Rattus norvegicus: one gene and its partners. The protein of the gene in region 2 purifies or fractionates together with the protein of the main gene of each other region. This does not show direct contact. Links are inferred from orthologs where the notes say so. Each region holds a gene or a part of one and is shown on either strand. Other genes may lie near its edges.

Region 1 (4,298 bases), on a different chromosome or scaffold from region 2:
GGCTTCGAACTTTCAACGTAGTCAAGGATGATCCTGAACTCTTGATTTTCCTAGAACTGCAAGTAAAATTCAGTGTTCATGGGGCTGGAGAGATGACTCAGCGGTTAAGAGCGCTGACTGCTCTTCCAGAGGTCCTGAGTTCAAGTCACAGCAACCACATGGTGGCTCACGACCATCTGTAATGGGATCTGATGCCCTCTTCTGGTGTGTCTGAGAACAGCTACAGTTTACTCATATAAATAAAATAAATAAATCTTTAAAAAAATTCAATGTTCATTTAAATGAATACCACCATGGGAGCATGTAATGTCAGCTTTGAGTCACAAGTGCCCAGGACACTTGATGCCTACTATTTGTTTTGTCTGTTAGCACTGCTTTCACTCACCCGATTCTTTTCTTTTTGTTCTCTCCCCTCCCATCCCAACCCCCAGCCCTGGCTGTCCTGGAACTCACTCTGTAGACCAGGCTGGCCTTGAACTCAGAGATCCACCTGCTTCTGCCTCCAGCATGCTGGGATTGAATGTGTTCATCATAATCCCTGATTCAGAAATTCTTTCAAAGGAGAAACACTTCTATATCCACAGTACTTGGTCTAATACACAGAACATAAGCCGTGTGTTATCCAGAACTGAATTCCATGGCAGTTGAGTGCTAAGTATGAGCCAGGTACAAAATACTCAGGACAAGCTGCAGTTTGAGCCGGATGTTGAAAAAGTAGTTTATTCAATCAGAAGAAATTTCCAGGTGGGTAGTGAAGAATTGGAAGACGAGAAGTCAAAAAGAAAAAGGTGTGATATTGACTCTGGAACACAGCTATTTAAGCAGTGATGACACAGGTCTCCAGTTACATGAACATGAAAAGCATAAATAATTCTTGAAGGGCCAGGAGTCATAGGGGTTTAAAGGACTTGATGCCAGCCTAAAACTCACTAGGGAGAACCAACTCCCACAAATTATCCTCTGTACCATATATACTTAAAAATTTTCTTCCCAATGGTGCAGTGGCTCACACCTTTGATCGCAGCACTCCAAAGGCTGAGGCAGGCAGATTTCTGAGTTCAAGGTCAGCCTGGTCTACAAAGAGAGTTGCAGTACAGCCAGGGATACACAGAGCCTGTCTCGGAAAACAAAAATGAAACAAAAGTTTCTAGTCAAATGCAGTGGCACACAACACCTGAGAAGCAGAGTCAGGTGGCTCTGAAGTTCGAGGTTGGTCTGGTCTATAGTACAGCAAATTCCAGGAAGCAGTAGATTGGGAAAGTGGTGACTTCGAAATCTCATCCCACCAACATCATTGCGGCCTCGCCTGGCACACACCACGTGCGGGCGACACTAGGTTCGGCCTCCCAGTGAGGTGTCTAAGGGTCTCTTGAGGTGCACAGTAGGGACGCCCCCGGGCGGGTGCGCAAGCGCGCTGAGGCCTCAAGGGCCCAAGGGGCGGGAGGGTGCGCGCGCTCCCCCGCGCACGCGCGCACGGGGGGGGGTGCGAGCGACGGCCGCGGTGACGTGCTGCGGTGGCAGCGGGTGGACGACGACGCGTGAGGCGCGTGATATCCCGCGTCTTGGGAGCAGTGTCCCGGCCCCCAGCCACTCCCCGCCGCCGCCATGTCCGGCCGTTCGGTCCGGGCCGAGACCCGTAGCCGGGCCAAAGATGACATCAAGAAGGTGATGGCGGCCATCGAGAAAGTGCGGAAATGGTGAGGGGCGGGAGTGGGGGGGGTTGCTGACGTGGGTTTGCGGGAAACCCGGCGCGGAGGATCGCCAGACACGTACAGACAGGGTGGGAACCAAGAGGCCGGCCTCTGGGGGGAGGGGGCCGGAGGAAAAAAGCGAAAGGAGGGCGCGCCGGCGTCGGCATGAAGTCAGAGTCCGCGTTCACAGTAGCCAATCAGAAGGACAGTCGGCTCTTAGCCCCTCCCACTAGCTGTCATTAGTCGCTTCCGGCCCGCTCTGCCTGGGGCGGGACCTGGCGCTGCAGTGTTGCACTTCCGCCGGGGACCTCGCGGAAGTGCGGCTTGGCGGCTCCCAGCTGGGTTTCCGCTCCTGCGCATCGCAACTGTCCAGTGATGTCCGTTGTTGCCAAGTCTTATGCGCTATAAGTGGTCGAAATTAAGCGGAAGTTTACAAACGCGGCACTTTTGGAACACAAATCCCTTATATCTGTAGATCTGGGGCCCTTAGCCAGCGCACCCGTTTGCTCTAGGCGCCCAGGGGACTCCGTCTCTGCAAATACTTACTGCAAACCCGGATTTAACGGACAAATGGTCAGGATTTCATTGCATTAAACTGTTCTGAACCAAGTCTTTGAGCCATTCCCCCTCACTTAATGACGAGTAATTTCGTTACTGTTTCGTTCATTTTGTTTTTTTTTGGTTCTTTTTTTCGGAGCTGGGGAACGAACCCAGGACCTTGCGCTTCCTAGGCAAGCGCTCTACCACTGAGCTAAATCCCCAACCCCTGTTTCGTTTATTTAACCGGATCTCCCCGAGTACTACAGTCTGGCTTTACACTTGCAGTGATCCTTCTGCCTCAGTTTCCCCAGCGGCTAAGAGGCCGCTAGAGTGATTTTTTTGTTTGTTTTGTTTGTTTGTTTTGAATCAGTGTCTTAAAAACCTTTGGCTGTTTTGGAACTCACTTTGTAGACTAGGCTGGCCTTGAACTAAAGATCCGCCTTTCTCTGCTTCCCAGGTGCTGGGTTATGGCATGCCTCTGCTTCCTATGTAATTCTCAAGTGTCTCCATCCCCTTTTATTTTTTACTGATAAGGAAAAGTTTGGAGGCTGGAAAATGGTTTAGTGGTTAAAAGCCCTGGGCTGTTCTTGCAGAGGACCTGCATTCAATTCCTGCCACCACATGGCAGCTAACAAACACCTGTACTTCAGTCCCACACACACACAGGAGAAATGCTGAATGAGTTGAGGGTACACTTGGTTCGGTTGGGTTTAGAGACCTGGGAGGCCTTCATAGTTTGCCTTAGGGTGATCTTCAGTAAAAGCCACTCAACGTTTTCTTACTTTGCTAGTACGTTGGTAAATCTGACATTTCTACCTCAGGAGGAACAAGGAAGAATGTTGAGGGAGGGGTCAGTTTTGTTTGTATGCTGGGGATGGAGCCCATAGCCTTGGGCAGGCTAGACTAGTGCCTCCCACTGTTGTTCCTGGCCAGAGAAAAAAGGCAGCTAGCTACAAAGCTGTAGTGTTTCTCTGTGAGTAATCTCAGTGACCCAGCATGCAATTGCTGCCTGTTCCTTTCTGGTGATTGTTCTTCCTTTGGAGGAACCTTAAATGGAAAATGAACAAAACTAGTTTAGAGAGACTTGGAAATTATCTCCACCATCCTCCCTGACTTCTGTCTGCGGGGGATCAAAGTCAGGACCAGTGCATGCTAATAAGCCTGTTAAGACTGAGCCACAATCAGTGTCTTTCGTGCCTTCCTCCAACCCCAATTTGTGGCAGTCCTCCTGCCTCAGCCTCCAAGTGCTAAAATTACAAGAATGCAAGTGAAAGCCTCCCCACTCCCCAACCCCTGGCTTTCATCCCTACTCTGGTTACATCCTCTTATACAAACCCACCTTCAGGTGTAATTTGATGGCATTCGAGATCAAAGGAACAATCTCTTGAGACACAAAAGCAGAGTTAGTAAACAAACAAGAAATGTGATTTATTAATCCTAATTAATGCTCATCTTCTAGGGAGAAGAAATGGGTGACTGTGGGTGACACGTCCCTGAGGATATTCAAATGGGTGCCTGTGACAGATAGCAAGGAGGTAAGTAGGGGGTGGGCAACAGTTAAAGAAACCACTGTCTTAGCTTCCATTTCTCGCCTCTTTCAGTTATAAAGGAAGTTCTTTTCTGAAAAGACCTCAGGCTCCCTCGGCCCGGACTATGCAAAGTGCTCCTTTGTCGTTTGCTCCTGTATCCTCTCTTTACTTAGACAGTAGCTTCAGCCCCGTTCCTGTTGATGGGTCATTTCTCTAATGGTGAAGTGAGCTGATGCAAGCCAGATTAGATTATATATAGGCAGGTTTATTAGGAAGCTGCTCTCCGGGGAGTTCGTTGACCCCAAGGACAGAGGCCAGAGAAGTCACAATGGGGAGAGAAAAGGGTGGAGAGAGAGACACACACACAGACACACCGACACACAGACAGACAGACAGATAGACAAAGTCTGGATTATATAGAAAAGACTCTCTTGGGGAAGGGCAGCCCACTGGGCTGGAAAGTTTAGGGTATGCCAGGTAGGAACTAAGGAATCCTGGGAGAGCCAGATGTAAAATATGCTCCTCGGTCCCCTGTCTG
Region 2 (4,206 bases):
CATCTCACCTTCCAGAGGATTTTATCTGTGGTTATCCAATTTATTTAAGATGAGACATTTTTTGAATTTTTAGCTCTCCATGCTCAAAACCCCAAACAGACCTGTTCACAGATAAGTTTTTTTGCCAGGATAGTCAGGGCTACACTGAGAAATCCTGTCTTGAAAAAAAAAATTGTTTGATTTTCAAGGAAGGGCAGAACCACGGAAAAACTGGCCTAAGGATGACCCCACACATCAAGCTTCCTCTCAGGAAATTGCTTGTTGCTGTGTAAGTCACTAAGTGGGGAGTGCAGGTACGGTTCCCCCATGAGCACAGGCTATATTCACTCGTTAGCCACACCAAACAGATTCCTTCACAGTCCTGTTAATACTGACAGTTCGTGAGGCAAGCTTCCTATGAGTGACAGACATTTCATGATTGTGGGTCATTCCATGATGTCCTGGTATCATAGGGACCAAATTATGTCGATTTTTTACAGTGCAATAAAAACACTGAGACCTTTGTCTTAATTTCTTTATTATGTTTGGGCCTTTAAGAAACATATAACATCATATATACCACTATTCAGTAAAAATCTATTCTAGATATCAGAGAGCACGCACTACAAACTATCTCATATCTAGTCTCTAACACCACTAAAGGGCTTATCAAAAAAGTAGGTTCGGCTCTGATCTATGGGATCTCGAGCCTTGAGGTTTTCATCACTATGAAGTATGCTCAAGTGGATGAACGTAGTTCCTGTTTTCCTTTTGCAATAGGCCAATCACTTTGAAGTCTGCAGTCCATTATAAGAATATCCCATTCCTTAGGCTCTGCTGTCTATCATGTCTTTGGAAAACCAATCTGGTAAAAACACATTTCTTTTCCCCCTGTACAATAAGGATGAATTTCCCAGAACACATCCCATAATAACTGCACAGATATGGATATGCACGTGCAGGGCTCACCTAATGAGAATCCACAGCAGTAACTACTCCCCCGGCCCCTCCAGGGCCATCTCTGCACAGTCTCATCTGTGTTTCGCTGGTTTCAGGCTACACCCTACCCTGTAAGAGGATGCCTGGTGTCTGATATCAGAGATAAAGAGGGCACTCTGTATAAATACACACGACAGGGGACTCGGAGAGCTGTAGTTGGTCTGGGAGGGGTTAAAGCTATGGCTTTGATGAGCACCCAAGTGAGCTGAAGGAAGGCATTTGGAAGAGCAGATTCTGCAGCATCCAAGTGGTTCTCAAAGAGATGGGTCTCTCGACTGATCTCAGTTCTGAGGTTTCAGAAGTTGAGAGCTAAGAAAGGTGAGCAGATGGCATTAGGCTATGCTATTGAAGACCTTCACGGTATCAATGGAAATAATACACAGACCACATAACACCATTAAAACCAAAAAAAACACATTTTTTTTTTCATTTAAAAAAAGTTTTAGGTCACATAAAACAAGGCAACATTTATTCCTTCTTCTCGTCTTCTGGCACAGGGTCCGTGGGCGGCTCCTCCACCGTTGCGCTGTTGCTCTCTGAGCCGGTGTTACTGTCACTGGTCCCTTCCACCTCCATGCTGTCAACCCCCTCCTGCCCACTCTCCTTGTCCTCAGGAGTAGATGTGCCTTCTTCACCATTCTGCTGGTTCTCCGCAGTGTCTTCAAGGTGTGTCTCCTCTGTAACCACACATTTGCACCATCAGTTCCGTTCACTCTAACTCTGCTGACGGCATTAAATGACCTGTCCAGTCTGACCGCCACTAGGCACACGTGGCAAGCAGTGAAATGAGCCAGTCTTGTGACTCAGGAATATTCATGAATATCTGAGACAACTCAGGGTGCGAAAATCTACATTTTTACCTACAGTATTAAGAAATTTAAATACATATCAAACACTTTTGTGGTGAGAATTGAGCTTTTGGGAGAGGGGCTGGAGAGACGGTTCAAAGGTTAAAAGCACTGGGTGCTCTTCCATAGAGGACCTGGGGTTCAGTTTCCAGCACCCATATGGCAGCTCACAACTATCTGTAACTCCTGTTCCAGGGGATCTGGATTGATACCCTCACACAGACATACATGAAGTCAAGTCACTAATGTAAATAAAATAAAAATAAATAAAAAAGAAGTATATAAAATACATGCTAGATTTCAAAGATTTGATACAATAAAAGAATGTAAGACAGCGAGAGTCTTGTATGTGTGCGCATGTCAGAGGAGAACCACAAGTGTTCTGTTCCTCAAGAACTGTCCACTTTAGGATCTCTCACTGACCTGGGAGTAACCAGGTAGGCCAGGTTGGCAGGCAATGAGCCCTAGGAATCTGCTGATCTCTAGCTCCTGTACTGGATCCTGAGGATGTAACCTGCTTTTCCCATATGCGCTCAGGTCCGTCTACTAAGCTTTCTGTCTAGCCTAGAGTATTAATTTTTAAAATCTTATAACATGTAAATATTTTTTTGGAGACTTGGTTTAAATGTAACATTAAAAGGAAGCCAGAAGCCAGAGGTGGTGGCACCAGAAGATTGCACTCCGGAGTCTGAGGCCAGCCTAGACAACACAGTAGAGCAAGATCCTGCCTGAAATACACAAAATGAAGGCACAGAAAGAAGCAGATGCTCTGTTTAAAGTGGTGCTGGCCACTTCCTTTAGGAAACTGAACACAAGGTTCTAATATCTTTAATTTTTTCCCTTCAGTTCTCCCTCCGTTTTCTTTCCTTAAGCTAGCAGACAGACATCTCAGTAAACATCCCAGACACCCAGACGCCGTCAGAGGGAGACAAACCTCATTTGGGGCAAAACAGACTCAAGACTGAAGACATGGTTTGGTTGCAAGATGAGCAAAGAACCACACTCTGGTTCGCCCAATTTATGGTAAAAAAATAACAAAACAAAACCAAAAACCAAAACCGGGTTCACAAAACCAGAAAGAGGCCCAGACAATGAAGACTAAAACCAGCCTGTCTGGAAAGGAAACCCACTGAGTTAAATACTGTGTAAATGCCTGGCAGAGATACTGACGTTTCCTTAAACACTGCCAGGAATTACTGTTGAGTACAGAGTATGCCCATGTCCCTTTTCCCAGCAAGTGCTAGTGTCCCCTGACTACTTTTGGCTTACTCCTGTTTATCCACTAGGCAGGGTCAATCGTGCTGAGAGGCAAGGTGATCTCGAAAACTTCAAGAACAACCAAGTTCATCAGTATTTGATCTAAGTTTTACCTTTCTTTTCTTTAAAAAAAAAAAAAAAAAATCCAAACCATGAGGAATGCCTTTATTCAGGAAAACCAAAACATCAAAAAGCATTGTTCCGGCTGGAGAGACGGCCCAGTGGTTGAGAACCCTGACTGCTCTTCCAGAGGACCTGAGTTCAATTCCCAGCAACCACATGGTGGCTCACAACCATCTGTAATGGGATCTGATGCCCTCTTCTGGTGTGTCTAAGACAGCTACAGTGTACTCATATGAATACAATAAATACATCTTAAAAAAAAAAAAAGCACAGTAGGCTGAGGTCGGTTGGCACCAACATGTAAGGCTTAGACGGTCATCACTAAAGGCTGTTGGCCAGGAAGTCTGTTTCAAGTCCCAAACTACACCCACACACACGCACACCCACACCCACACGCACACACACACACACACACACTCTCTCATGTCACCTCAAAGCTGTCACATGTAGTGTGACTCACAACAAGTGAGTCTGGCCATCTTCTAGTCAAACTTTGCCATCTAAGGACTAAGACAAATCTCGGGCCCATGACACATCTTATGTAAATAGTAGCCATAAAGGTTAAAGTATTATTGCCTATTAATCCTATGTCAAATCCAGCAGCAAGTAGCTGTTCAAATGAGGAGATGAGAGAAAGCTCAGCAAAGTCAGTGTCAGCAATGGGCAAACAGACAGGGCCCTGCACGCCCGTCTCCAGAGCCACCCCCACTTGAGTACTACCAAGAGCTCACACGGCAAGACTGATGCCACCATGCTGCTCTGAGAGAGACAGGGAATGGCAGAATGCCGGCTGTCAGGGCCCTCACACTTCCTGGGTTGGGGAGGCGGTTACCTGTCTCCATCGGGATGTTCTCCTCATCCTTCTTCTCCTCGGCTTTGTTCGCCACTTGCTCTTCCTCGGGGGCGATGCTGCCCTGGCTGCGCTCAGCTTGCTCGGCTGCCTCCTTCTCCCTCTCCTCCTGCCTTTTGCGGGCCTGCTCCTCCGCCTGTGCGATCTCTG
Region 3 (3,500 bases), on a different chromosome or scaffold from region 2:
CTTGCCAGTCTACGTTATTCTGGGGTATTCTGCCATCCGTAGAATTGGCGGCCTTTCACTGAACTGCTCTGTTCCCGTTAGTGTGTTAAGGAAAACCATATGCATCCTAGATAATCAGAGTTGACGTTTAAACTTCGTGGATAAGCCTTCAAGGGCGTGTGCAGAGTGCCGGGTGTGTGCTGCCTTCCTCTCCTGTTTTCTCTGGATTTACGTTGATCCTGAGTGCTGTGAGGCCTTGGGGGCAGTGACAGAATTCAGGAAGGTAGTGACTGAGCTGCAGGCAGATAGAGATAGGGCTCAGATGGCACGGTTGTGTGGGCTGTGCCCTGTGCTGGAATTTCCTCTCTCCTGGAAGGACTTTGAAGTGAGATAGAATTTTGTTGTGATAGATATTTGAGAGCCCCTCCCCTAGCGATGCCTTTCATTTTGGCTCCAATATTCAGATACAGCCTAACTTCTAAGTCAGGAGTCCTTTGGGCAGTTTTTGAAAATAAAAATAAGGCAAACCTTTCATTTCTTGAAAATGAAATTTAAAAGGCCCAGTCAGGTTGACAATAAATTATGAGTAACAGCATTAAAATGTTTTTATCACATAGAGTTCATGACTAGAGTGATAAACTCAGTGGTTAAGATCACCCGTTCTTCTGGAGGACCCGAGTTCGGCTCCCAGTACCCACATGGCAATTCATGACTGTCTGTAACTAGGGGATCCTGTGGGCTCCTCCGACTCTACATGTGCACGGCTCACACCCATACTGCAGCCACTACACCCAATGCTTCTGAGATGTGCAGGTGAAAAGGACAGGCACAGAGGTGCACTTTGAACTCGGCTTGACATTTGTAATCTTGCCAGGTACTGTTAGCAAGCTTGCTCTGTGGATTCCCTGGTTGCCAGGGTGCCCTGGGAAGTGCAGGTGACAGCTTGCATTGCAGGTACCTACAGTGCGCCCAGGGTCTGCCTCCTTGCCAGTCTTACTGAGCCGTCTTCCTCCTGCTGTGAAGAATTCATTTCCATGCTGAAGGGCTCCAGGGCTTTGGAGAGCTTCTACATACAGTGATAAAAACTGGAGAGACCCGAGAAGAGTTAGACAAAAGCAGAACACACAGAGGTGCTCAGGGAGACAGCAGCTCTGAAGAAGCTTTTCTTCCCACGGAACAGATGGTCACGTTGCTGAGGAGGTAAAGCTCTGTGCTCACATTGTCCCTGGAAACTTAAGGAAGTGGCTGCTTGGTTTTTAGATGTTTGTTTAAATTAATAGTGAGCCTCTGACTCACTGTGTCATCGTGGCCTGCACAGCTTTCCCTTTTGTACTTTAACTCACCCCCAAGTTTGGCGCTATGTAAGCAGGACTGCAAGACGACACACAGACACTCGAGTCAGCGGGCTGAGAGTGTGGGACTCTGCTCTTTAAGGACCCGGCAGCCCTCGGGGAGCATCTGACACTGCTAGGCGGCCACACAGAATTCGAGGGCCACTGCGGGTCACGTGACAGATCTTCACTGTATGTGCTGCAGCAGTGGTGCTGAACTCTCACCCTGTAGAGTGTACTGAGCCCATGCCTTACTACAGACCTTTTCCTAACTCTCACCCTGTAGAGTGTACCTGTCTCTGAGCCCATGCTTTACTACAGACCTTTTCCTGGTAGTTTTTAGGGTGGGGAGACTGGGAGTAGGAAGTTAGAGGGTGGGCAAGGTGAGAGGATTTTAGTTATTTATTAAGGAGCACCGTGATCCTGGAGGCTGGAAAGATGGTTGAGCTGTTCTTGGAAAGGACCTTGGTTCACTTCTCAGCACCCACATGACAGCTGTCATGTCTGTAACTCCAGCTCTAGGGGATCCAGTGCCCTCTCCTGCCTCTGGGCATACGTACAAATCGTTCACAGATACATACATGCAGGCAAAACACCTGTACACATATGATTAAAACTAAAAAAAAAAAACAAAAAAAAAACAAAAAAATTTCTTTTTTAAGAAAAAGCACTGTAGGGCTGGAGAGATGGCTCAGGGGTTAAGAGCACTGACTCTTCTTCCAGAGGTCCTGAGTTCAAATCCCAGCAACCACATGGTGGCTCACAACCATCTGTAATGAGATCTGATGCCCTCTTCTGATGTGTCTGAAGACAACAACACTGTACTCATACATAAAGTAAATCCTTAAAAAAAGAATGTAAAATAAAAAGATATTTCAAAGAAAAAGAAAAAGCACTATATATTTCTAGTTTGTAAAGCTTATAAAAGGTTTGGGAAATGGAAAGTTTTTTTAATTTTGCATAAAATTGAAGTTTATAAAATTTAACTGATATGTTTATGAAGTGCTTCTGTAGGTTTCTGCTTACCACTATTGCATAAATGTGTACTAAAAGGAATGAGAGTGTAGGGCCGGAGAGATGGTTCAGTGGGTAGAAGTGTTGCTGCTCTTCCAGAGGACATGAGGTCAGTCCCAAGCCTTCACACCACCTGTGACTTCTGCATTCCAGATGCCCTCCCTCCCTGGTCTAGCCTGGGCTCCTGCATGTATGCAGCGTGCATAAGTCATGCAAACTCACACACATACAGAGAATAAGTCTTTATCATCCTCTCTACATACAGAAGGAAACAAACCCAGAAGTGGGTTTCTTCTGTCGGTCTTATTTTCATCGCTTTCCTCATGCTGTGGTAAGATGCTTTTGCCTTGAGAGCCGGTGAGATGATGCGGATAGAAGATGTATATGCCAGAAAGAGCTTGTTTCCATGTTGATTTTTTAAAAATGACTGGAGTGCTCTGGTGGACCTGAGGGTTCCACTGGGGTTTGGTTGTTTTCCTTATTTGCAGATAAATGTGGGCCTGTGAGCTTTGTGCAGACTCATTTATACTTGCAGTCAGTGTCCCTTGTTCGAGTACACACTTTGTGTATTCTGTGGTAAGAGTCTTGTACCTGTCATCGCATGTTGAGCAGCAGTGCCAGAACACCGCGTGATGATGTTTTTCTGTCTTCAGGTCCCATGATGCACCAGCAGCCTCCTTCTCAGCAGTACAGCATGCCACCTGGAGGTGCGCAGCATTACCAAGGACAGCAGGCGCCCATGGGGCTGATGGGTCAAGTTAACCAAGGCAGTCACATGATGGGCCAGAGACAGATGCCTCCCTATAGACCTCCACAACAGGGTGAGAAGCCATCTGGAAAATTCCTTGCTTACTGTAAATGACAGTCATTGAAAGGCTTTAAGTTTTAATGTACTGTTCATCCTGGCTTTTGTTGCACTCCCCTGCCACCCACCAAGGTAGCAGGGTTTAGGGAACCCTGAGGAAGTCCTGAGGCATAGAGGAGCTTCCCAGCACATGGCTTCCTTTTGTCTGGTGTTCTCTAGGGAAATACCACATCAGAAACTTTTCTATCAAATTTACTCATTTACATCAGAAAATGCCCTCTCTCCCTTTTTTAGAAGTTACTAAGTATATGACAAAGAACAAAGCCAATTTTATATCAAAATGCCTTAATACTAATGTAACAAGTAAAAAG
Region 4 (3,500 bases), on a different chromosome or scaffold from region 2:
AAATAGTGAACGTGGCCCTTCTTGTCCACACTATGATGTCAATAAAGAAAAACTCCTCAGAACCAGAAAGCAACTTCTCTCACCTCTCTAGTCAGCCTTGCTCTTAAAAACCAACAAAACCATTCCAAATGCGCCAGGCTCCACATAGACTCAGTCTCAAGGATGCCTATCTTTGACCCAATACTCTCTCTACTCTGTACTCTCCCTGTGGGCCGTACTCAGAGGAATGTTTCTTGAATGTAAGTCAACAGCAAGGTCCATTCTCTTAGCCCCTTTATTTTTTTTTTTAAAGATTTATTTATTTATTATATATAAGTACACTGTAGCTGTCTTCAGATACACCAGAAGAGGGCATCAGATCTCTTTACAGATGGTTGTGAGCCACCATGTGGTTGCTGGGAATTGAACTCATGACCTCTGGAAGAGCAGTCGGGTGCTCTTAACCGCTGAGCCATCTCTCCAGCCCCTCTTAGCCCCTTTAGAAACACTGTCTGGTAGGTCAATGGCCTCCAGGGAGCCATGGGATACCTGTGGTTGAGGATCCGGTGGATCATCATCCACTCCGGTTTTATTCCATAGCGATAGAAGCGCTCCTCCATCTCTGCAAACTTAGGGTCCTTGTTCTTTCGCTTTCGGCTCTTCTCCTCATCTCCACCGAAGTCCCCAGAAGGCGGCTCATCCATATCATTCTTCCGCTGGTAGTTTCTGAACATCACCTGACAGTGCAGCTCCAACTGGGAGCAGAAAGAGAAAGGCGGCCACCCTGGAGCTGCATCCGGCCTCCTGCTCTTACCTCTGCACTGTCACCTCATACATGCAACTTGTCCCAGGCTTACCTGCAATTCTGACACCCAGGAGCAGTGCCAGTAAGACATGCCTTGCCATTTCACAAAGAACTGCCTCTCTGGCCGCCCCTCCAAGGGTTTGGGAGATGGAGTATTAGGATCAGCATCTGGAGGCCGAGGCACTGGTGTAGGAGATGGTGGCTGGCCCCACTTCCAAATTAGGATCTTCTGCACTTTGCCCTTAAGAGCTGGACACTGTTAAATAGAAACCACTTAATCTCAACTCAAACCACAGGGCTATGCATAAAACTCTCCAGGAACAATAAATATCAGTGTCTATGGGTAGGTGGTTAGAGCACTTGCTGCAAACACGACAGCAGGAGGTCAAATGGCCAGCATCTGAAGAGAGGGCTGGTCTCCCAAAGGAACCAGACTAGATACCTGGCATCCACTGTAGCTAAGAATTATTGTTCCAGGGGATCCAATGCGCGCGCGCGCGCATACACACACACACACACACACACACACACACACACACACACACACACACACACACACACATACACACACACACACACACACACACACACACACACACACACACACACACACACGGCCTACTGCCATGGGAAGGGAGACTAAAGGATCACTAGAGCTTGCTGCTGGCTGCCAGCCAGCTAAGCTCCAGGTGTAGTGAGAATCTGTCCAGGGTGATACGGTGGGTATCGGAGTACAACACTGCTGCTGTCTGGCCCAACACCAAGGCCTGGAGCCCTGAACACACATGTACACATACAATACTCGCGAATGAACTTTTTTTCTTTTCAGGTAAGTCTCACTCTAATAGCCCTGGCTGGCCTGGAATTCAATATATAGACCAGACTGACCTTACACTCACCAAGAACTGCTTGCCCTGCCTCTGATGGAAAAACTACAAAGTGAGTTCCAGAAAACAAAATAAATAAAATACTTCACCTCAAATAAAATCTACCCTCACAATCATCCCTAGGCAAAAACCACTAGAACTTTCTCTCCTCTTTGGATATTGTCACAGAGCTAGAAAGAGTCAAGAAGCAAGCTATACAATAAACCAGAATAGCTAGGCACACACAATTCACAGAGAGAGAGACTTGAACCCTTCCCTCTCTTGAGCAAGCTGAATGCAGTAAGCTGGCTCTGGGGCAGCCATGGCTACCGAGAGCTAAGGTGAGACACCCAGGCTCAAGTGAAGCTGGGCATGGTAACCTCAGCTTTGCTCCTCATTCTTGGGAACATGAGGTACAACAGTGAGTTCAAGGCCAGCCTGGGCTGCAAATGAGTTTGTTGCAGCATTTGTGTGTAAGAGCTAAGTTACAGGACCAACCTAGGTGTACATCAACAAAAGAATGAAGAAAACATGGTGTCTTAATACAATTTTTCAGATATAAAGAATAAAGGAGCTGCTTTCCTTTACAGGAAAGCTGATAAAAATGGAGATCATAAAGCAAAACCACATATGTACAGAGAACATAAAAGTAACACAAGACAACTAAAGAAGAGCACAGGCCGGGGTTGGGGATTTAGCTCAGTGGTAGAGCGCTTGCCTAGGAAGTGCAAGGCCCTGGGTTCGGTCCCCAGCTCCGAAAAAAAGAAAAAGGAAAAAAAAAAAAAAAAAAGAAGAGCACAGGCCTAATGGGAAGGGGACATCCTTAGTGCAGCAGGCAGGCGGATCTTCCTGCGTTCAAGGCCAGCCTGGTCTACATACATAGCGAGTTCCAGGACAGTCTGGGACTCACAGAAAGGCTCTGTCTTGTAACATCAAACACAAAAACAGAACTGTTCTTAACCACTGAGCCATCTCTCCAACCCCCAAATTACAAGTTTTTAAAGACAAGATCATGTGTGATACTCCTGCCTTTAATCACGCAGGACACCAAGACAAGAGGATCACCGTAAACTCAAGGCCAGCCTGAGCTACATACATAGAGTGAGTTTAAGGATAGCCTGGACATCAGTTCAAAACACCAAAAATCGCAGCAGCAATCAGAATGACAGAATGACTACGACTCTACTGCTTCACCTGCTTAAGAGGAGACCGTTCTTCTCTTCAGTTAACCGCATTTACGCGGCAGATGATGGCCCAAGACTAAGCACTTTCTCCTGTCTCAGCTAGAAAATCTCTATGTCTCCAAAGACCTCTCCCCAACCTAGGCCTCATAATGCCTACCAGAGAGCAGACCCTTGTGCTAGTAAATGGCACTGCTCCCCTCTCCCACCCTCAGTGAAGAGTCACTTACAGTACAGCGGGGACAGAGCCATTCGCCATTTGGGATCTCTGGCAGCGGGGGGTTCAGACAGTGGATATGGTAGGAAGAAGGGCAGGTGTCACAGCATAGTAGTTCCCCGCCATCCTTGCAGACTCGACAGAATTCCATATGGTGGTCATCTTCCTCTTCTGGGTCTCCCCCAACTTCTTCCAGAATCTCTTCACCCTCAGAATTGTCCTCCTTAGCTTCCCACTGGATACCCTCCTTCTCCTGAAATAAAAAACCAGAGATTCAGATTATTACCACCCCACCCCACCCCCAGTCAGACAGCCAAGGACACTCCCATTTTTATTCCCACCTTTGCCCTTAGGGGGACCCAGAGGCCACAGTAGCCAGGCACTCACACAGTGTGGGCAGCTCCACTTGCCCTCGGGGGCCTTCTCCATGTCTGGGTCCAGGCACACCATAT
Region 5 (4,268 bases), on a different chromosome or scaffold from region 2:
TAGATTAGATGATCTCTGGCCTGCCAGGATTCTGATGGAGATAGTAGGGATAAGGAGGCATGAAAAGCAAGAGGGAGAAGGTCTCAGTCTCAGTGGCCAATACCTACAACTAAAGCTGTATGGACAAGCACTAACGTAGGATCTGATAGGGACTTTCACTGAGCAGTCACAGGAGACCACTGCATAGCTTAATAAAAACACACACACAGCAACACTACAAGTACAGCCTGAGTTGATTCAGTGAGCAGTAATAACTATAATTAAGGTATGAATGTGTTGGAGCGCACAGCACAGAAGAGAGCAGGCTCACATTTGCTCGCCTTTAGGAGGCAGCCTTGTCCTTACCACACAGGAAAAACCGATAAACAAGGCTGACTGCAGCAGCTCCTTTGTTTCTGCTGATGGAATTGATGCTGACACTGGAAGTCAAACGGAAGGAAGGACCAGCCCAGTGGGGCTGAAGACTGCAAAGTCAAAGCACAGAGGCTGAAGAAGGCCTGGAGGAATGACTGGAATGTCCAATCGGCTCCTGCAGGTCAGGTAAGATTCTAGAAGGTGAAGCAAGTGCTCTAGTAGGAGAAATGGCCAGAAGAAATTATGTACATGTATGTGTGCCCATGTGCGTGTGCGTGTGTGTGTGAAGAGAGCAGCAAAGGGGAGAATACATGAATTCAAGACTCTGTAGCAAAAAATTTCAAGCTTCTGTTATTCTACAGATAGCCTTATATAACTCATATAAAGTTTTAAAAACTAGTTGGTAGTCATGGTTATTTTTTAGACTAGTATTTACTCTATACTCTAAAGACTATGTCAACCATGATAATGTATTTGAGAAAAGCAGAAAATTAAGACAAAGTCTTCTCACAAGGCAAAAATCAAAGAAAAAGATGAACTAGTGGTCTTTCCCTCAATGAGTGATGTCAGCTGCCAGAAGACTTAAGCACACTATAATAAAAAAGAAAGTATCAGAAAGGCATCTTTCCAAAGTGAGAATGGTGTGAGAATCAAAGTCTTCTCTATAAAGGGAAAGTTCTGTGAGGTACGTGTTAGTGATGTCTAGTCTTCTGCACCTAGAAATGGGAAGAATCAACTCAGTACCTCGCTGACACTAGGAACCATTGACTGGTTAAAGAGGCAGGAACAGCACTGCTCTATTTAAATGGGAACCAACACTTAAAATACTACACCAATGGGTTGGCAACTCCATTCTCCGCAAGACCATCTTTCAATATGAAGAGCTCCATTAACATGTAATTCTGAAAACCTAGGCAACACGTTCTTCTAGAAAGTAAGATTTCCAGGGTAAAAGCTGTGGCTCCTCTTTTCACAGGAAACCTGTGGGGTAGGAGTGGGGGCACAGGACAACTCCCCTTCCACCAGGAATAGGGGAGGTCAACAAAGAAAGGCAGAGTAACAAAGACCTAACAGCTGAGTCTAGAAGGAGAACCATAAAAATGTTAAATTAACAGCTTCATTTCTAAATTAAGGGAAATGTCAGCCTAAAGAGGGCTGGGGAAGCCGGAGGGGGCAGATCATAAGGATAATAGTGTTGGGAGGAGGGGTGGTTGAAAGAGGCAGCAGGATGAAGCCAAAAGCAAGTAAAAAAAAAAAAAAAAAAAAAAAAAAAGCCACAAGAGAAGGCACTTAGCTTAATGGAGGTGGGAAAGCATTCTCGAAGAAAAGGGCTCCAAGCAGCGGGGGAGAAGCAACTTAACCTTAAAAAAAAAAGCCTCTTGGGACTATGGGGGCTCAGCCCACGACAAAGACAGATGAAGCTGCGAAAAGTCCTCCAGAATAGTTCCTAAACCATTACTTTGCCATCCAGAATCCAAAAGCTTTGACTGGACACCTGAACACTTCCATTTTTCTATTCTTACATCACGCCCAACATGGCCATTAAAGGAAGAAAAGGCCATTCTTAAGCCCAACGGGCATTTTTAACCCCGTTCCAAAACTCTCGATTCTTCTTCAAGAAGGAAGGAGGAGACTCATCAAAACCCCAAACACCTCTAACTCGGGGGAAGCGGCTAACAGGCCAGTCCCCGTTCCCAGTGTTTCCCAACAACCGTTAACTTCAGCTCTGCTCGAAATCTGACCCGCACAATGGCATCTAGGGTACAGAGAACGCCCACTTCGGGGCTCCTGCGGACCAGAAGGCCGTCTGGTTCCGGTCTAGTTGCCCACTCCCAGAAGTTCTTTCCCTTCTGTATCTGCTCTTGGAACAATTCTTCCCAAGAACAGTTTTAGTTTCGTGTACCCCGGATTTCCCGGTTAATGTCACCGGGCTGCTTAAATCTTAGGATCCCAGCAGGTACGGCGGAGCCTGTAGTCCCAGGGAGGGCGGTGGGCGGAGAGGGGACCCCGATCTCCCAGGGCCGCCGGCCTCAGCGCGACGGGACTGAGGGGCCAGGGACCGTGAGCCTCTCGTTCGCAGTCCGCAGCTCCGCTCGGGGCTCGGCCCGCGAGAAGGACGCTCGTCGGGGACTCTAGTGTGCCCCCCTCCCGGTCTCCACAAGTTTCCAAAAGAAGCCCAGCGCCTTCTCCAGAGTCTCCTGTTGCCCTCCCTACCAGCAGTCGCACAGCAAGGACTTCCCGGGCATGTCCTTCTCTCTGTCTTTTCTCTTCCCGCACTTCCCTCTCTACTCCCAGGCCCCATTACAAGATTTCCTGTACAGGAGAGATTTTTAAAAAGAAAAAGAAAAAAGAAGACCACTCACAGCTTCACTACATTCTCCACCACAGCCGCCATCTTCCCAGTTCCTCTCCCTCAGGCCGGGAGGCCCCGAAGCCCGCAACGCGCAGGCGCTAAGCCTTCTCAGGACACACGGTCCTCGATCCTCTGCGCAGGCGCAGCCCGAGGGTGCGCGCACGCACAGGCTCACGAGGGCGAGCGCTAAAAAAAAAAAAAAAAAACGACCCGACCTGGAGCCTAGGGGATCCCGATGCGCAGGCGCGATTGGAAAACTATGCGCCCTCTGCAGCTCATTCTGGAGATCTGTCTCCCCTCCATTTAGTAGAGCCTCAGGAAGGCTTGGTTGGAAAGTGAGAAAGGTAAGTGAATAGGCCAGGCAGATGAGCTAGAAGGAGCAACAGTGTCCTGCCTAGCTGACCGTTAGACACATGATTGACTCACAGGGAAGGATTGGAAAGGTCAGGGAGGTACCCAGTCCTTTAGGTACCTCTGTCCGCAACCCCCTTTGCCTATTAATCTGCCTTTTTCCCTACCTCTCGTCGGTGGGCTAAAAGGGAGGTTGAAGCATTTAAGAACCCTAAATAAAGTAGGCTTTGAAAAACCTAAGCTTACACTACATAGAGGCTCAGAACTGTCTGTAACTCCAACTCCAGGATCCCACAGTTCTTTTGACCTACTTCTTGACACCCTGGCTCAATGGAACCCTATCTTAGGGTTTCCACGCCTGTGGAGAGATACTATGACCAAGGCAACTCGTATAAAGCACAGTATTTAATTGGGGCTGGCTTATAGTTTTAGAGGTTCAATCCATTATCATCATGGCATTCAGGTAGGCATGGCTCTGGAGGAGCTGAGAGTTCGACATCTTCTTCAGAAGACAAACAGGAGAAGACTGGCTTCTAGGTAGCTAGGAGGAAGGTCTCTCCAAGCCTACCCCCACAGTGACACACCTCCCCCAACAAGGCCACTCCCTGGGCCAACCATATTGAAACCACACAGATCCCCAAAGCTTACACATGGCTACCAGCTGTATGCAGTATTAACGGCAGGCCCTGGCAGAGTCTGTATTCTCTCACTTTCCTGCAGCCTCAGTGCTGGTGTAGCTTCTCTCCTGGCGGGGTGGGGTAGGGTAAAAGAGAGGCACCTTTCTTACATTCTTACTCATGCAGTCTCACCCGAGACCTGAGCTGAAGCTAGAGGAGCCACAGGTAGAGGACATTATTGCCTTGGGTTCTGGGACAGACACCAGCCATACATGGAACTCCTGTGTCAGAGTGGTAACCTGAAGCTTTGAACTCATTGACCTCAGGCACCTCCTTACACTGAGGTAGCTAGAAATAGAAGGACCTTCCCTCCTTAGCTTGTCTAGGCACCATACCTTCAACTATACCACAATCAAAAGGAAGTCCCAAAGTACACACAAGTGTTTAATGGACAGCTAACAATGTCAAGTGTTCCTACAGTACACTGGCTTTTTTTTTTTCTTTTTTTTTTTCGGAGCTGGGGACCGAACCCAGGGCCTTGCGCTTGCTAGGCAAGCGCTCTACCACTGAGCCAAATCCCCAACCCCAGTACA
Region 6 (3,500 bases), on a different chromosome or scaffold from region 2:
ACAGGCTTGTGCCAGCATGCTTGCTGCAGGGATCTGAACTCAGGGACTGCATGGCAAGAACTCCATGCACTAAACATCAGGCCTTTTTATTAATTCTTATGCCACAAGAAGTTCCAATACTATTTTTATTTTCAAAAATTAAAATGGCTTCTATTATATGTCTTAAACATTTAAAAAATTTAGGTGAATGGGTGTTTTCCCTGCACATATATCTTTGCATCACTTACATGCCTAGTGCCTATGGAAGGTAGAAGAGGGTGTCAGGTGCCCTGAAAATGGAATTACAGATGGTTATGAACCAGCATGTGGGTGCTGGTAACCACACCTAGACCTTCAGAAAGAGTAGTTAGCCCTCTCAACTGCTGAGCTATGGTTGCAGCCCCCTGCTCTATTTCTCAATAGAGCTCTGGGCATGAGGTAAACTCTATGGACTCCTGCCTCATACACATGTGTCGTGGGCTACATCTTCCAGCCCTCAAAAGCAGAAGCTCATGTCAGCAATGGGGGAAGAAAAAGATCTGCACACTTCTCAACGGACAGAGTTCCTGTAATCTACAAGACACATGCTCTTTAGAAGACTCAGTGGACTGCATGGGACCACAAGAGTGTCTCTGGATTTAAAGACCTCTTAAACCGAGAGACAAAGTGGACACTGACATCATGACAGTACTGCGACATCCCATGACTCTAGAGCATGTTCACTAACTATCAGTCACCCGACAAACATTACCTGAATGAAACCTGGTGTAAAATCTGGCTGTGAGATACCTCCCCTTTCCTCTTTATTTCTATTCCCTAGTACTACACAAGGAACCATCTCTTAACATGCTAATCAAGGAGCCACCTCAAACCTGGAACACAGAATATTCGCACCCTAGCCCTTCCCTTTCTTTGTACCATTCAACCTCTCTATTCATCCTCCAACCCTCTCATGAGACTTTGTGCCTTTTTGGGTAAACTCTGGCCCACAAAATTTCTGACACAACTTTAATATGCTACGTCATATTTCCTTAAGTATTGGTCTTATCCTAACCACAAGATTTAAAGCTCTTCAATACAGAGCTCAACAGTGCTTATTACTCATGTCTATGGTGACTGTCAGCACAGCTCTCAGGGGAGACAACCCAAGGACGTCACCGAGCAGCTGTTGTATTATGAACTTTCCTGCGTGCACATCTCCAATTCTTCACATGAAAACTGAAAAGATTATCAGTTCCCTAGAAAAGCATAGATACGGGCTGGAGAGATGGCTCAGAGGTTAAGAGCACCGACTGTTCTTCCAGAGGTCCTGAGTTCAAATCCCAGCAACCACATGGTGGCTCACAACCATCTGTAATGGGATCCTATGCCCTCTTCTGGTGCGTCTGAGGATAGTGACAGTGTACTCCTATACAAAATAAATAAATAAATCTTAAAAAAAGAAAAGCATAGATACGTCAGAGGTTATCTTCATGAAGGGCTTTACTATGCTGTTCTACAAAAGCTGTTACTAGGAAAAGCGGTCATTAGTATTTACTTTTCCTTCAAGGTCTAGAGCAAAGATCTCCTAGGTGGAATTAAACAGCCCAAAGTTCCAGCTCTCAGTACTTCAACATTGTAAGCCACAAGAAGGCAGGATTTACTGTCTTCAAGTTAAATGTAACCGAGCACCTATAAGAGCATAGAGAACTTACACTGTGGTTGCTGGATTACACTGGGTATTCTTTCAGTAAGTGCCAAAAATACACATAGGCCAAAAGGTTGAAGGAATTTTAGTAAGTGTAAATTTATTCTTTAAGCCATTTATTGTCCTACATTAAGCTCTTAAGCTGATAAATAAGATAAACAACAGAAGCCCTTCTTAAGTAATTGAAATAGAGATTGAGGGGTCTAGAGAAGGAGCACTGGTGTTCTTCCAGAGGACCCAGGTTCAAGTCAGAGCACCCACATGGTAGGGAACCATCTGTAACTCTCGTCCCAAAGAAACACCTTCTCTGGCCTCTGTGGGCACTGGTTATACGGGCTGCATACACATATATGTAGGCAAGACATCTCAGTACACATTACATAAAAATAAGTACGTTTTAAAAAAAGTGATTGGCTTTAGACCAGTCTATCCTCCAAGAATCATTCTAAGCTCTTTAATTCATTTAAAGCATTCTTATATTTTTCAAAGAAAAAAACCTCTACTCTAGTTTCTATTACAAACTGTATACTGTTCCTTTAAAGACATCTTCTGAGAAGGCTGCACTTCAGGTCTCTGGCTATGCCAGTGTGCAAGTGCTTCAGGTCTGCCTCCCCCTCACTGGCACTCAGTAGTGCTCTTCTCTTCTTCTTCTCTTTTTAAAGATTTATTATATATATGTACACTGTGGCTGTCTTCAGACGAGGGCACCAGACCCCATTACAGATGGCTGTGAGCTACCATGTGGTTGTGGGAATTGAACTCAGGACCTCAGGAAGACTAGTCAGTGCTCTTAACCACTGAGCCATCTCTCCAGCCCAGTAGTGCTCTTTCTACTTCATAGAGTACATGTGCTCTTTACAAGTGTGGTGTTGTTTGCTTTTTGTAGACGCACTTTCTCTGTGTAGCCTTGGCTGTTCTGGAACTTGCTCTGTAGACCAGGCTGTCCTTGAACTCAAGACATTTATTTACCTGCCTCTGCCCCCTGAATGCTGGGGTTAAAAAGTGACTACCGTCCGACTCCCTCTTTACAAGTTTTGACCCCTCCAACACTGTAAAGGGAGGAAAAGGCAGATGTTTTGCCTACCAAGAATTCAGGATGAAGGCTACCTACTATAACCATGCACCACAGAGATGCCTATCACAGCATGACTCCCTTACCTGTTTTGTAATAGAAATCACAAGGATTTATCATAAAGAAATGGCTTGGAAAACATACCGATTCATCCTTCTGGCCCTTTCCAATACTTCAAACATATGCTCCTGAAATAAATCGAGTCGCCGATATCGATTACTTTCAACATTCTTCCTAATAATGTCAAATGTAAGGGGAGGTCTGCTGGGAAAGTTCGGATCCACAGCAGGAATTTCTGCTAAGGAGTCACTGTAACATCTTCCTTCATCATCCTGATGACTCATGACGGACACAAAGAGATTATGGATAAGTTCTTGAATCAGCAGGGTCACGTTAGGGACATGAGAATCCTCGTCTCCCTCCAGGTCTCTCCGAGTTTCAAGGAGGACTTTATGGAGGACAAGGGCATCTTTGTAGATCAAAGATTCTGGCTCATTGTAGGTACAGGCATTGTTAAACATCATCACGAAGTCCTCCACCATAGAATCGATATCTTGGTACTTGTTTGCCATCATGTGACTTCGGATTTTTTCCATGTCCATGGGCTTTTTAATGGTCAGATAGTAGTCAGGCAGCTCTGACCTGGAGGGGAGTCTTAGAAATATAGCACTGAGGCGGCGGCCCCTCTTGTCAGTATAGTTCTTCACGGCTTCATACACTTCGTTCAGCTTCTGCTGCATTGGAGTCATGTACTTGGATTTC
Region 7 (4,300 bases), on a different chromosome or scaffold from region 2:
AGTCCTCACCAGCATAGCCAGCCCTCACTGTATATGATCCAATGTCAAAAACAAGAGCGCCAACTTCATCTGAAGAGATTAAAAGAGAATTACAGAAGTGATTAAAAGAGAACTACAGATGTCTTTAATCCCAGTAAGGGAGGCAGAGGCAGACAGATCTATGAGTTCCAGGCCAGACTGGTCTACAGAGCTAATTCTGGAACTACACAGAGAAACTCTTGTCTCAACAAAGTAAAGAACATATTTTATGTATATAAAATGAGAATATTTAAAACTTTGTAAAACTCCATTACATAACACATAATTAGCTAGAATCTAGTTTTTACGATTGTTGTTTTGATATAATCAACCTCTATGTGATCTTACTTGTCGCAAAGTTCCTGTCTCTGACTCTTAAGTGGGATTAAAAGTATGCACCACAATGTCTGGCTTGAACCTAGTATTAAATATACCTTCAAGATTTATTTAATTAAAATATGGTGAGTCATACACTGTTCATCAGCGGAGGTTTAGTCAGGAAAGATATGGTACACTGACAGCAGGTAGTAGTTCCTTACTAAAGGGACTAGTTATAAACATCTATCATCCAGGTACAGAAGGATGAACAAAGGGACATGTCCTCATAATCCTTGAACTGAGAAAACAAGAAACTGCTAACAGAACCTAGGATTTTTGTGGGGATGGCTGTTGGGAGCTGTGGTAACAGCTGAAATGAGGCAGAGAGCTAGAACTGCCTATCAGGGAGGAAGGACCAAGCTCACAGCCTCCAGCCTTCAGGAAACTATAAGCCAGCATCCAAACTGGGACATCAGAGCTTAGAATGTAATTTATACAGGCCAAGTAAAAAGCATTTAATGAAGGTACTATTTAACTCACACATTCCAGACATTAGGGGATAGTTTAGTGATGAGAAAAAAAGCTGGCAATTTTTTTCAGTCTAATTCAGAGAAAAGCCTCCATTTATATTTTCCAAGTACTTCACCCCAAACAGCAGGCCTCCTAGGATAAAGTGCTAGTTTGTCAATGGGTCCCCTCCCAAAAAATTTAAAACACTAATCCTACTTACCTACATTACTCAACCTTAAGAAAAGTTCTATTCTCCAGTTAAAGCTACAAATCACCACAGCCACTCTATGCAGTTTAGTGCTAGCTACAAAGAGGCACCCAAAGAGAAACACAGAGCTATTTAGTTTAGACATACCCAGTTTAAGAGAAATTCATATTTTAAAAGGAGATGCATGTGCAACTGTTTGAATGAAAATGTCTCCTAGACTCTGATATCTAAACATCTGGGCCCCAGTTTAGTGCAATCTGTGGATATTTAGAAGATGAGGGCCTGATGTAGGAAGCTGTCACTGGGGACAGGCTTTGAGTTTAAAGCCCCCACCATTTTCAGTTTGCTCTCAGCTTCATGCTTGAGGTTGGATATGTGAGCCTAGACTCCTGCTCCTGCCACCATGCCTGCTGCTAGATGCCATGCCTCCCTCATACTGGACTCTTATCCCTCTGGAATCATAAGCTAAAGTAAACTCTTCCTTCTAGAAGTTGCCTTGGTCATTTTTGTTTTGTTTTTTAATCACGGCAACAGACAAGGGACAAATACACTATGTGAAATGTGTAATTTACTAACCTCTTTGCCCCAGTTTGGTCAGTAAAGAGTATTTAATACTTATCTCATTGGATACTATGACTAAATGTCTTCAATGTTTTAATGTATACTTAAAATAGTGCTGGTAAGCAATAAGCCCGATAAATATTAGCTAATAGTAGTAGTTACTCTTGTCACACTTCTTGCTAGGGAAATGACTACAGTTAGAGAAACTGCTACAGTTCGTTCTTACAAAACAGTACACAGCAGTTAAAATGTGTGGGCACAGATCTACTGACTCGATACATTTATAAATTTATAGTGTGAGTATACTATTTAACTCATTAGGGGTGCATGTTACAGGTACACGGCCGAGAAAGGAATGCCTTTGCCTCAATCCAGAAGCTATTTGCTCCCAATTTGCAAAGAAAGTCTTTTAACTTTGAGCTGGTTGTTTAACTCTTCCCAATGCTTTCTTCTTCGTTAACGTGCAGGATAGCAGCACCATCTCCTGTCGGCATCCACCCTAGCGAGGAGTCTCTAACTAGTTAACTACTTTTAAAATAAAACAAAACCAGTGCTTGAAAGCCTTGATTTCGTTATCGCCAATTTATAAAAAGACTCCTGGCCAGTTGGCCAGGGGAACAGCAGCCTGTACCTCAACGCTCCGCTCATCTAGGGACCAGGCACACCTGGAACGATGTCCAGTCGGAAGCCGCAACACCGGGCGCGACTCAGAACCAGTGCCCACCCGGAGGGCCCGGAACCTCCGCGAGCTTCCCGAGACTAACCCGCGGCGGAACCGGTACAGCGAGGGACCCGGAGTGCCAGGTGACTGCCAACAGAGTCCAGCCCGTCCTGGAGCTCCAGGTGTAAGACACGCCAAGGCCCTTCCTTGAGGCCATCTCGGAACCAGCAACAGTACAAGCCGGAAACCTACTGAGCGCGGGCCCTGGGTCCGAAGAGAAGGAGAGGCCATGGCCCAAACGGGGACCGGAAGCACCGGCCAAAGACCGGAAGGGCCCGCCGAGGACCGGAGGGAAACGGAAGAGACCAGGGACCGGGCCGGTCGTTCCGGCCCGCACGCCCCGAGGCGCCTCTGCGCTCACTCACCTCCGCCGTACACGCCGCCGCTCATAGCTACTGTTGGGCGGGGACTGGCCGAAGACTACTGGGCGAAAGATAACAGCGGCGCGACTCGACTCCCCAAGAATGCCGACCCCGTAAGCCTGCAACTTCCAACGCCGCCCCCTCCGGCAACAAAGCAGCGGCCGCACGCCCGCTGCACAGCCACTCTTGCTGGTTTCTCTTGTCAGCCAATGACAAGAGGCCCGGCTTAGTCTTTAGCCAATCAGAATGTGGTGCTGCTGTATCCCTGCGCGGTTTAGCCGTCTTGACCAATGGAAGGCAGCCATGGGGAGAAGCGACGGAAGAAGGGAAGGTGTTGGGGAACGGGCAGGAGGGGGCGGAGCTTCGCGGGCGGGTGAGAAGTGGGTGGGGCTTCTACACGCAGACGGGATTGTGGGAGGGGCTGCTTCGCAAGAGGGTGCGAACTGTGCTTCGCGCGCAAATGGAGTGGGAGGAGTTTTTAGGTGGGCGGGCGAGTGGGAGGAGCTTTGTGCGGGAGTGGACCGGGTTTCTAAAGTGAGTTAATTAGGTACTGGGAAGGGGCTTGCCTTGGGCCATCAACCGCTCTTGCTTCTGAAGTGTGGCCGCTCCCCAGGAGCCATGGGAACTTAGGCAGAGAAAGGAGAGTATCTGCAAGGAATCTGGAATTTGAGTTAGTTACCTCGAAGAGATTCCTGGTCTGGGATTGTGATGGATTTGGATTTTTTTTTTAAGCAGAAAAAACTTCAACTAACATTTATACTTGAAAAAGAAATGTGTACTACACTTTGAAGTAATCGGCAAATCAGATATAATAATCGGATTCATCATTTTTTAAAATGGCTATTATAATAAGAGATCATATGTTTTCCCAGCTAGATTCAGATAGCATTTAAAAATCATTACTTTGGTTTCTTTCATTTCTGTGAAAATCATTCACCAAGCAAGTGGAGCACCATTCAGAGAAACACCCGTTTGTAAATATATCCCCAATCTGTGTCTACTGTTCTTAGACTATGTTTCTATCAGTGTCCAGAACACTGTCCCCAAAACAATAAGTGCAACAATTTGTCCCTCTGCTTCTCTGGGCTTTAGTTAGCTTGATCTACATAACAAAAGGTCCAAAACTCAAGTATAATGTAGCTCTCTCTGTAACTGGTAGCAGTGCTTAAATTGAAGTGTCTAGTGCAAGCGTTACTAGCAACCTTAGAAGGGTTGAATAAAATTTCATCCATTTCCATGCCATCCAGGTGGCAGAAATTGACCTGTCATAGGGTCAGGAATAATGCAAGTAAGAAACCGCTTTCCTGTTCACTTGACACTGTGCTTTGAGCTCACAATGATGGTTCAGGTTTGGGTTTTTTGAGACAAGGTCTCATGGTATAGGCCAGGCTAGTCTCCAAGCTGTAATCCTCCTGCCTCTGCCTCCTGAGTACTGGAGTTATAGGCACGTGCCACCTTGGGTATTAGTACATTTTGAATGATTCAAAGATGTTTTTAAGAATGCTATGATACTCCCGTGTCAGAAACATTAAGCTGCTTTATTGGAGCATAGCCAGGCTTATTTGCCACTGTGACTGAAGCTATGTGCCTGGTTGAGCTGTA

What was found.
Region 1: the proteins of Smarce1 (region 2) and Bcl7b purify together in Homo sapiens (affinity purification with mass spectrometry; 3 studies listed by BioGRID and IntAct, counting the BioPlex papers as one, with this or other methods). This does not show direct contact. The link is inferred for Rattus norvegicus from reciprocal best matches to the Homo sapiens genes SMARCE1 and BCL7B.
Region 3: the proteins of Smarce1 (region 2) and Ss18 purify together in Homo sapiens (affinity purification with mass spectrometry; 4 studies listed by BioGRID and IntAct, counting the BioPlex papers as one, with this or other methods). This does not show direct contact. The link is inferred for Rattus norvegicus from reciprocal best matches to the Homo sapiens genes SMARCE1 and SS18.
Region 4: the proteins of Smarce1 (region 2) and Chd4 purify together in Homo sapiens (affinity purification with western blotting; 3 studies listed by BioGRID, with this or other methods). This does not show direct contact. The link is inferred for Rattus norvegicus from reciprocal best matches to the Homo sapiens genes SMARCE1 and CHD4.
Region 5: the proteins of Smarce1 (region 2) and Dpf2 purify together in Homo sapiens (affinity purification with mass spectrometry; 9 studies listed by BioGRID and IntAct, counting the BioPlex papers as one, with this or other methods). This does not show direct contact. The link is inferred for Rattus norvegicus from reciprocal best matches to the Homo sapiens genes SMARCE1 and DPF2.
Region 6: the proteins of Smarce1 (region 2) and Pbrm1 purify together in Homo sapiens (affinity purification with western blotting; 9 studies listed by BioGRID and IntAct, counting the BioPlex papers as one, with this or other methods). This does not show direct contact. The link is inferred for Rattus norvegicus from reciprocal best matches to the Homo sapiens genes SMARCE1 and PBRM1.
Region 7: the proteins of Smarce1 (region 2) and Actl6a purify together in Homo sapiens (affinity purification with mass spectrometry; 9 studies listed by BioGRID and IntAct, with this or other methods). This does not show direct contact. The link is inferred for Rattus norvegicus from reciprocal best matches to the Homo sapiens genes SMARCE1 and ACTL6A.

Annotation. Positions count from the first base shown.
Region 1 is NC_086030.1:27,143,832-27,148,129, reverse strand, and holds the start of Bcl7b (B-cell CLL/lymphoma 7 protein family member B), read left to right. Parts: upstream 1-1,498; 5' UTR 1,499-1,605; coding exon 1,606-1,697; intron 1,698-3,690; coding exon 3,691-3,766; intron 3,767-4,298. UniProt on the Homo sapiens protein: Positive regulator of apoptosis. Plays a role in the Wnt signaling pathway, negatively regulating the expression of Wnt signaling components CTNNB1 and HMGA1.
Region 2 is NC_086028.1:84,654,968-84,659,173, forward strand, and holds the end of Smarce1 (SWI/SNF-related matrix-associated actin-dependent regulator of chromatin subfamily E member 1), read right to left. Parts: coding exon 4,039-4,206; intron 1,656-4,038; coding exon 1,447-1,655; 3' UTR 501-1,446; downstream 1-500. UniProt on the Homo sapiens protein: Involved in transcriptional activation and repression of select genes by chromatin remodeling (alteration of DNA-nucleosome topology).
Region 3 is NC_086036.1:6,061,414-6,064,913, reverse strand, and holds part of Ss18 (protein SSXT), read left to right. Parts: intron 1-2,977; coding exon 2,978-3,145; intron 3,146-3,500. UniProt on the Homo sapiens protein: Appears to function synergistically with RBM14 as a transcriptional coactivator. Isoform 1 and isoform 2 function in nuclear receptor coactivation. Isoform 1 and isoform 2 function in general transcriptional coactivation.
Region 4 is NC_086022.1:159,591,318-159,594,817, reverse strand, and holds part of Chd4 (chromodomain-helicase-DNA-binding protein 4), read right to left. Parts: coding exon 3,436-3,500; intron 3,302-3,435; coding exon 3,062-3,301; intron 2,444-3,061; exon of another isoform or gene 1,041-2,443; coding exon 837-1,040; exon of another isoform or gene 735-836; coding exon 529-734; exon of another isoform or gene 31-528; coding exon 1-30. UniProt on the Homo sapiens protein: ATP-dependent chromatin-remodeling factor that binds and distorts nucleosomal DNA. Acts as a component of the histone deacetylase NuRD complex which participates in the remodeling of chromatin.
Region 5 is NC_086019.1:212,625,490-212,629,757, forward strand, and holds the start of Dpf2 (zinc finger protein ubi-d4), read right to left. Parts: upstream 2,801-4,268; 5' UTR 2,750-2,800; coding exon 2,718-2,749; intron 2,410-2,717; exon of another isoform or gene 2,258-2,409; intron 1-2,257. UniProt on the Homo sapiens protein: Plays an active role in transcriptional regulation by binding modified histones H3 and H4. Is a negative regulator of myeloid differentiation of hematopoietic progenitor cells. Might also have a role in the development and maturation of lymphoid cells.
Region 6 is NC_086034.1:6,268,433-6,271,932, reverse strand, and holds part of Pbrm1 (polybromo 1), read right to left. Parts: coding exon 2,883-3,500; intron 1-2,882. UniProt on the Homo sapiens protein: Involved in transcriptional activation and repression of select genes by chromatin remodeling (alteration of DNA-nucleosome topology). Required for the stability of the SWI/SNF chromatin remodeling complex SWI/SNF-B (PBAF).
Region 7 is NC_086020.1:117,419,231-117,423,530, reverse strand, and holds the start of Actl6a (actin-like protein 6A), read right to left. Parts: upstream 2,801-4,300; 5' UTR 2,727-2,800; coding exon 2,702-2,726; exon of another isoform or gene 2,529-2,701; intron 2,371-2,528; exon of another isoform or gene 2,247-2,370; intron 70-2,246; coding exon 1-69.